2 linked regions of the Mus musculus genome follow. Each later gene encodes a partner of the first gene's protein in a complex. Links are inferred from orthologs where the notes say so. Each region holds a gene or a part of one and is shown on either strand. Other genes may lie near its edges.

Region 1 (3,650 bases):
GAAGACCAGCTCCACTGCCATACCTAGGATGGAAGGGCCTTGCCATAGAGTTATACCTTAGTAGGGTAGAGTAAAAGGGGGGGCAGGATTCATGTATCAGTGACTAACCTGAGACCCAGTCAGGGCAAGGAGGCTAGCCTCAGACCCAGCCCCTAAACCAGGAGACTAGTGTTAGTCTCAAGCATGCACTTAAGCTAGAGTTGGCCTTAGATGATCCTGGGGTGGGGGGCAGCCTCACTCTCTGGACTCCATCTGGCCCTTGGAGGTATGCTGGGGGAGTGAGCTGTGTCCCGGGACAGTGCACACACCTCCTGGGCCAGCCGGTTGATCTTGAGCTGCTTCTCCTTCTCCAGCATCTCTTCCTTCTCTTTGTAGAGCTTTTGTTCAAACTCGAGTTCCTTCTTGTTCTTCCTCAGGTCCTGCAGGCTATCGTACTTGGCTTTCTTCTTCTCTTTTGCTTTCTGAGCAGATGGAGCATTGTGCGTGTGGTGAGGGTCACTGTTTAGGTGGCATTGGGACTAACACAGGACAGCAAACAGGGCATGCAGTTCTGACAAGACAAGGCTGCCAGCCGCAGTGAGCCCCCCTCCCAGCTCTGTCCTACCACAGTGGGCGTCAGACTCAGGCTGAGGTCAGGCAGGCCATGGATGCCCATTGGAGAGTGGGAGACATACTCCCTCGTCAGCCAGACCTGGCTTACTAGCTCACTGACTAGCTGTGTGACCTTTTGGCTAAGTTCTGTAACCTAGCTAAGCCTGGACTCCCCACATCTCTAAAGTGGGAGAAATAGCTGATCCAGGTTTCCAGTTAGTGCCCATGAAACACCATGAAAGGGCTTTGGAGATCTCTAAGTTCTTTCTAATAAAAGGCATTGCATTTACTTCCTAGGACCTGGGTGCTTGCCTTCCCTGGCAGCAAGGGGTGGGGGAATGGTTCCTGTTCAGATGCCAGAGATGCATCCTGGGAGGTTCCAGAGAGTCTGAGTGAGCTGGTTAACCTGATGTGCAGAGGTCACCTGTCATGGTCTATACGTGGGGTTTTAAGCCAAGCACACTGGATGCTCTACACTTCATCACTTAGAGAGTCCAGAGCCAGGGTTCCCTCTAAACTGGGGAATTACCTGAAAACTCTGGGACTGGGAGATGCAAGGTCAGGCTAAAGTCAAAGCTTAGAGAGGTGAAGTCCCTTCCACAAAGTCAGACATCTAGGAAGTGATGCAGGCTCAGACCTGCATCCTCCAGGTCTCAGGTTTCTACTGAGCTCAGATAATCAGGGGAGAAAGGAACACAGCAGATGGGAGATCACTCCCATCATACAGCAGGGAGCACAGAGCCAGCATTCAGAAGAGGATGCAGAGAAAGTCAACACTCAGGGTGAGTTCCGGAATAATTGCATCTCTACCTACCAAGGTTTCCTGCTTTGCTGCTCTGAATCAGCTTAGAGTCCAAGGCCTGGAGTGAGGAACTGAACTTCCAGCAATGGATGCAAAACTTTCATGTCAACCTAGGGTAGTAAGTGTCTACAGACCTTTGATGCACTCATCTTGACTCAACTGAAGACAACCTTATCTCCAATAATGGCTAATATGCTTTGGAAATGCTGGGTTTTGGCACCCATGTCTAGAGTGGCCCACAACATCTCAAAGAGGAGATTCTCCTTGCTTCAATTCTGCTCAGTTCATGGCCTACCCTGCTCACCAGGCCCCTAGCTCAGCTCAGGGTCAAATGCTCACACCATGCTGTAGGTTCAGAGGCCAATCCTCAAGAGGAACCAGAAAGGGTCTACCTAGTGGCAGCCAGCTTAAATAATGTCATGGCACCCTCAGGGGCCACCGAGATAAGAATGGCCATTCTATTGATTAGAAAACAAAACCAAACCTACAATAATGTCTAGATTTCACAGCCAGAGTGAGCTCCTGAGAAGGGCAGTGACAGATCCTGTGTCACCCTCAGTAAAGGGTATCTGTTGACAGATGGAGATGGGCAAACTGCCACAGAGCACTGCCCGTGAGCAACTGTACCCCCTGTACAGACAACTTAGTGGCCCGTGAATCTGCCTTCCCTGCCAGGCTAAGAGTTCCTGTATATCTGGTTAAGCATGCTACCATGCACAAGTTTTTCTGTGGATTCTGGGATCTGAACTCAGCTCCTTACACTTGGGAGGCAAGCACTTTACCCACTGAGCCATCTCCTCAGCCTCAGCTCACTAACCATGAATCCTCCATAAACATGAATTGGTGGCATTGAAGTGAGAACACTTACTTCCAGGACAGGGCTAGGAGGCATGAAATCTCTCTTTTTGTGTAAAGGGTTTGACTACGGGTGCTCACAGCTGTGGATACACCTTTGTATTCCTTAGCTCCAGCTACCGAGAAACACGCCATGTTCAGCGGCTCTGGACAGAGTGAGGATGGGTTTTCGGAGCTGGTGTGAGGGATGAGCTTGTGTTGTCTTATTGATCGTCAGTTATATTCATAGGTTTCCATCGAGGCTGAGAGGAGAAATTCTATCGACCGACCAACAACTGTTCTCCTTGGGAAGTGAGAGCAGAAACCAAAATAACAGCTGTTTCCATCATGACAATGAAACCGATAACGAGGACTTTAGCCTGACCCCATCACTAAGAGCAACTTCCAAGGAATGGGGTTTGTGTGTATAGAGCATTCCAGCTCATTTGCATTTCCATAGTTAATTATGTCTGGAGAAAACATGCCCTATCCGTTTGTACTAATTATTTTTCCAGTAAAATCTCTCTCTCTCTCTCTGTGTGCATACACATGTGATATATATATATATGTATATATATATATATAATATATATATATACACACACACATATATATGTATGTATATATATATGTACATATATATACATACATACATATATATCACATGTCCAAGTACTGGTGTATGGAATATGTTGTTTCCTTTAGCCAAGGTCTAATAGAGACTATAATGGGAAGAATTAGCAGTCTAACTCCATGAGATTCCCCCTCAGAGTCCAGCCTCTAGCCTGAAGCTAGGATAGCTACAAACATAGCCCAATACAAAACCATAAACTTACTTAAAACAATATATTATTTTTGAAAGGTGTTGTAACTCAATTGTATGGGAACTTTGTAGATGTCAGTGCCATGTCACAATGTCAAAAGGTTGGACATTACTTCAAGCCATGGACTCAGCTTGTGACACAGAGGCCACAGTCCTAGGAGACCACACACTCTCTGAGATCAAAACAGGGTAAGAAGGGGTCCTTCGGGCACTGTAGCCTAAGCCTGCTCACTGCTGTGGAATGCTGCAATCCCAGGCACATGTGTGTCAGGAATCCCGCTGCTACTGTGTAAGTGGCGTGTGGTGGGCAGTATCCCAAGCTCATGCTGCTGCCACAGCCTTGCTTCCCAGGGCCCTTGCTAGAAAGAGCTGAGCTGGGTCAATGAGTTCACTCAGATTTATGCCGGCAGCCTGATTTCTAAATACCAAGCCATCTCGAATGTCTAACATGCAGTACAGATATTAACCGTGGCATTTTCACAATCAAATACTGATGAAATTTAGTAAGACAAAAGATGAGTATTTTATGGGGCCTGGAGATAGTATAATGAGATTTAGAGAGAAAATTAAAGGTCTTAGGGAATGGAAAGATACATAATC
Region 2 (3,650 bases), about 52 Mb from region 1:
CACTCCCAATATAAACATAAGTTCTTGGGACCCCAAGTCTTTACCTATGGTCATATAAGCCAGCTCCCTGAGAAGCTCAGGTCCCCACATCTGGCTGGGTTAACTATCTAATTGTATAGGTGACTCTAGTCTTCCCACCAACTCGCCACTAGTAGAGGTCTTTCCTGACCCAGGATGGAAATAATAGATTCTCTAGGCATAGAGTAACCTTGCCATTGGCCTGGGCCAGCTGCACTGAACATGAGCCAGCGGCAGTGGGTTTAAATCCGACCGCTCAGGTGGGGCCATGATAACCACTAGCTACAGGTTACAGTCTGCTCTCTCCATTCACTGTCTCAAAGTTCTGCCTCCCCTCAGATCTCAGGTGTGGGTGCTATTCTTATTCCACATTTCCAGGTAAGGCATAGAGGGATGAAGGAGATAGGTTAGGGTCATATGACTAGCCAGCAACAGAGCTAGCACGGGCCTTTTGCTTAATCTGTGGCTAAAGTGGAGCCATTAGCAGCTGCCTGGAGACCACCAGCCTCTGCCTAGAGAAGCCCAGACACAGCATCCCACTGCCCCTCGGGTACTGACCGCAGCGCAGGCCGCAGGATGCCGTTGCCGATGATGAAGTGCAGCTTCTCTAGATTTGAGGTGGGCCGATCCTCCAGCATGCTGTTGCCCTGTACCGTGGATTCCCCATCGTTCAGCCTCTTGGTCACCTAGGACACGGACACAGGCTTAAGCCAAACAGGTGGGGCTTGGGTGCTGCACCTGCTAGGCTTCCCACGGGGAGCAGATAGCATCATAGATGGGGTGCTGTCCCTGCCAGCCACTGCAGAGAGCAAATGAATGCATGGATGACCCCTGAGCTTGTCATTACTCCATCCTTAAAGACTAATAACTAGACCACATGGCTGGGAGCACCAGTCTGATGCTACCAGCTTGGTCTCTGTACCTCAGTCCCACCCAAGGGAAAGCCTTTCAGCCATGATGTGTTCCATCCCTGCCTCTGATTGAGGCCAGCATCTCACACCTACGGCACCAAAGTACAGCCTGATTCACAACCACCTAATTATCAAGGCCCTGGCCCTGATATGACATGGCCACCCTCAGTTCTCAGTAGATGTGTGTCTCTCTCCTGGCCCCACGCAGCCACAGAAGCAGCCCCGCATTGCACTCAAATGCAGCAAGAGACCCTCCATCATAGACAGAAAGGGCCATGCAAGGGCCTCCTGCACCTGAACCCATGCCTGTTTGTCCCAGCCCCCACCAGCCTACACAGCCCTGTGTGCAAGGCCTTGGCAGTCTTAGAAGGTAAGAGATGGATTGATGGGTGGTGGTACCAGTATTCAAAAAGACTACAGAGAAGTCTGCTCCCAGGTCAAGAGGTCCTAGGATGAAATGCATGGTATATGTATCAGCCAGAAGTATTCTCCTTTTCACGTGTGTACTTGGCCCCGCCCCATTCTTTCTCCCACCCTGGGAAGCCCCCACCCTTAGCATTTTCATACACTTCTGTCTGGTGGTTGCTCCAGTGCTGTGCTATACAGAAGAGAGAGGCATCATCCAGTTCTCCTGCTCCCATTTCCAGGGCCCCCGACTCAGCTGTGCTGCAGTTTGGCTGCCTAAGGAAGCCCTCCAGGGCCCAGGCTCTGTTCTTACCTCTTCTGTGAGTTTGGACTTTTTCTTCAGTGTCAAGTGTACCAACTTGTGTCTCACACTGGTCTTCTTCTGCCCCTCAGGGAGCTGGGTCTATGTAACAGATGCAGGGATGAGACCTCTGGACAGTGGGGTTATAGAGTGTCTGTGTGCGTGTGTAATTTCCACACAGAGGCTCACAAGGTGCAAGCCACGAAGCCACCCTCTACCCTTGCCCCTGCTGAGACTCAGAAAATCATAGTTACTGCCGGAGGTCTCCCAGTGAGGTGTCCCTAGAGGTGGCTCCCACTGCAAAGTCTGTCTGGTCTGCAGTGTAGCCCCTCAGTTATAATGAGAACTTTACAGTTGGCAATGGCTCGCACATTATTCCCACGAGTAGACAGAGAATGGCAGGGGATTGGGGCAGGGATGAGGCAGAGACAGCTAGACAGCTTTCTGCTGGTTACCTGAGCCTGGCGTGCTGACACCATCCCCACTAGCCCAAGACAGTTATCAGTTGGGGGCCCTGTGGCCTCACCTCGCCCTCGCCCTGCAAGGCCTGCAGCTCCCTCTTATATGTCTTCTTGCCTAGGGTCTCGTAGATCTTAGTCATCACTGGGATCTTCTCACTGCCGTCGCTCATGGCTGTGTGGTACTTGGGCTCTGGGAGGTCCCCCATGAACCGGAGGATGGTGATCCAGACAGCCAGCGCCGCCTGAGGATGGAGCACACATGTAAGAAAGCCAGGGAGGGCGGTGGAAGTGGCTCAAGCCACAGAGAGAGCCTTGGAGAGGAAGCTGGAGAGACAGCCACCTGCAGATGTGGTCTGACCCTAGGTTGGGGGCTGAACCAAAGCCCGACCTTGACTTGACAAGAGCAGCACCCACTACCCCAGCCCGGTCCTGTGAGCCATGACCCAGCCACAGGCCGCCTCACCAGCTGGTCACCCTCATCGTCGTGGTAGAGCAGCGGCTGCTTGAGAGGCCTCCGGGTGTAGGAGTGTGTGGTTGTGCCCTGGAAGTAGGTGGCAGCAAACTTGGCGAATTTGTACTCAGAAAGGTCCTCCTCGTCTTCATCAGGCAGGGGCAGGGCAGCGTCAACATCCTCTTCCACCATCTCCCTCCGTCCGCGCTCTAGGTCCTGATGGACACAGAGGGGGTGTGTCTTAACCGTTAGGCTGGGCCCTGTAGCCCGCAGGCCCAGAACAGAAGCAGCGCTGGCTGCTGTCCTCTCTGCTCCCCCCCCCCCGCCCCCTCTCTCTCATCTCTCTCATCCTCTGCAGAGCCGGCCCCTCCTCCCAGAAGGTAAGGCCTCTGCTGCTTCCCTCCACTGTCCAAACAGAGCCCAGCACATAGGGGATCCTCAAGGACATTGGATAAAAGTTTGAGAATGGCTTCAGAGAGGGATAGCGGGTGGACCAAGGTCACGTGGCAGGCAGAGACTGGATGGGGTCTGAGACTCATAGTCCTTCACCCAGTCAGTCACCACTGCCTTCTGTATCAGGACAAAGGATGTGACAGGAGACATAGAAGACTCTGGGGTGCCTCAGGAAGTCCTGCCCCAAAGTCCTGATACCTCAAAGCCACTAGGCGCCTGGCCTTCCTGGCCTGGCAGGCTGCCTGAAGTCCCCAGGAAGCCAAACATCTTGTCCACCATATCTGAGTGGTTGATGGGTTCGTGGCGGGCCTTCTCCATCTGCTCCAGCAGTTCCTTCTTCCTCCGAGCCTCCTCCTTCTCCTTCAGTTCCCGCTCCGCATCCTCGCGGGCTAGCTGAGCCAGGCGCTCCTGAGGTTGGGGGGACGCAGAGTAAGTAAGTCAGTAAGTCAGCACTGAGCAACATAGCTTCCGAGAACAGCTGTCTTCAGGGAGCCCAGGAGCAACCAGCAACAGCGAAAACAGCAGCAGCCCCACTAGGGCTCTGACACAGGGGTGAGCTGACTGTCCTCGTAGCCCCCATCTGGGACAGACAGATGTCCAGCATCCCTGGACCACAGGAGGACACCTCCTCTAGTACTCTCTTTTCCCTG

The links. Proteins that work in one complex are often made in the same cells at the same time.
Region 2: the proteins of Ush1c (region 1) and Myo7a are in contact, whole or in part, in a crystal structure (PDB 5MV9), measured with the Homo sapiens proteins. The link is inferred for Mus musculus from reciprocal best matches to the Homo sapiens genes USH1C and MYO7A. Residues at the interface, in NP_001284693.1 of Homo sapiens: Glu450, Pro456, Ile457, Val461, Val462, Ser463, Tyr466, Glu467, Lys479, Gly480, Pro522, Tyr526, Asp527, Asp528, Glu529, Leu530, Thr531, Phe532, Phe533; in NP_000251.3 of Homo sapiens: Phe1946, Val1953, Ala1976, Lys1995, Lys1996, Trp1998, Gln2017, Pro2020, Lys2021, Arg2024, Tyr2026, Ser2112, Ala2113, Phe2114, Phe2115, Glu2116, Val2117, Lys2118, Ile2128, Ser2161, Gly2163, Asn2164, Thr2165, Tyr2166, His2168, Leu2181, Glu2183, Thr2184, Ser2185, Leu2186.

The regions. Positions count from the first base shown.
Region 1 is NC_000073.6:46,210,851-46,214,500, forward strand, and holds part of Ush1c (harmonin), read right to left. Parts: intron 462-3,650; coding exon 309-461; intron 1-308. UniProt on the Homo sapiens protein: Anchoring/scaffolding protein that is a part of the functional network formed by USH1C, USH1G, CDH23 and MYO7A that mediates mechanotransduction in cochlear hair cells. Required for normal development and maintenance of cochlear hair cell bundles.
Region 2 is NC_000073.6:98,074,431-98,078,080, forward strand, and holds part of Myo7a (unconventional myosin-VIIa), read right to left. Parts: intron 3,409-3,650; coding exon 3,199-3,408; intron 2,764-3,198; coding exon 2,560-2,763; intron 2,339-2,559; coding exon 2,162-2,338; intron 1,738-2,161; coding exon 1,648-1,737; intron 705-1,647; coding exon 577-704; intron 1-576. UniProt on the Homo sapiens protein: Myosins are actin-based motor molecules with ATPase activity. Unconventional myosins serve in intracellular movements. Their highly divergent tails bind to membranous compartments, which are then moved relative to actin filaments.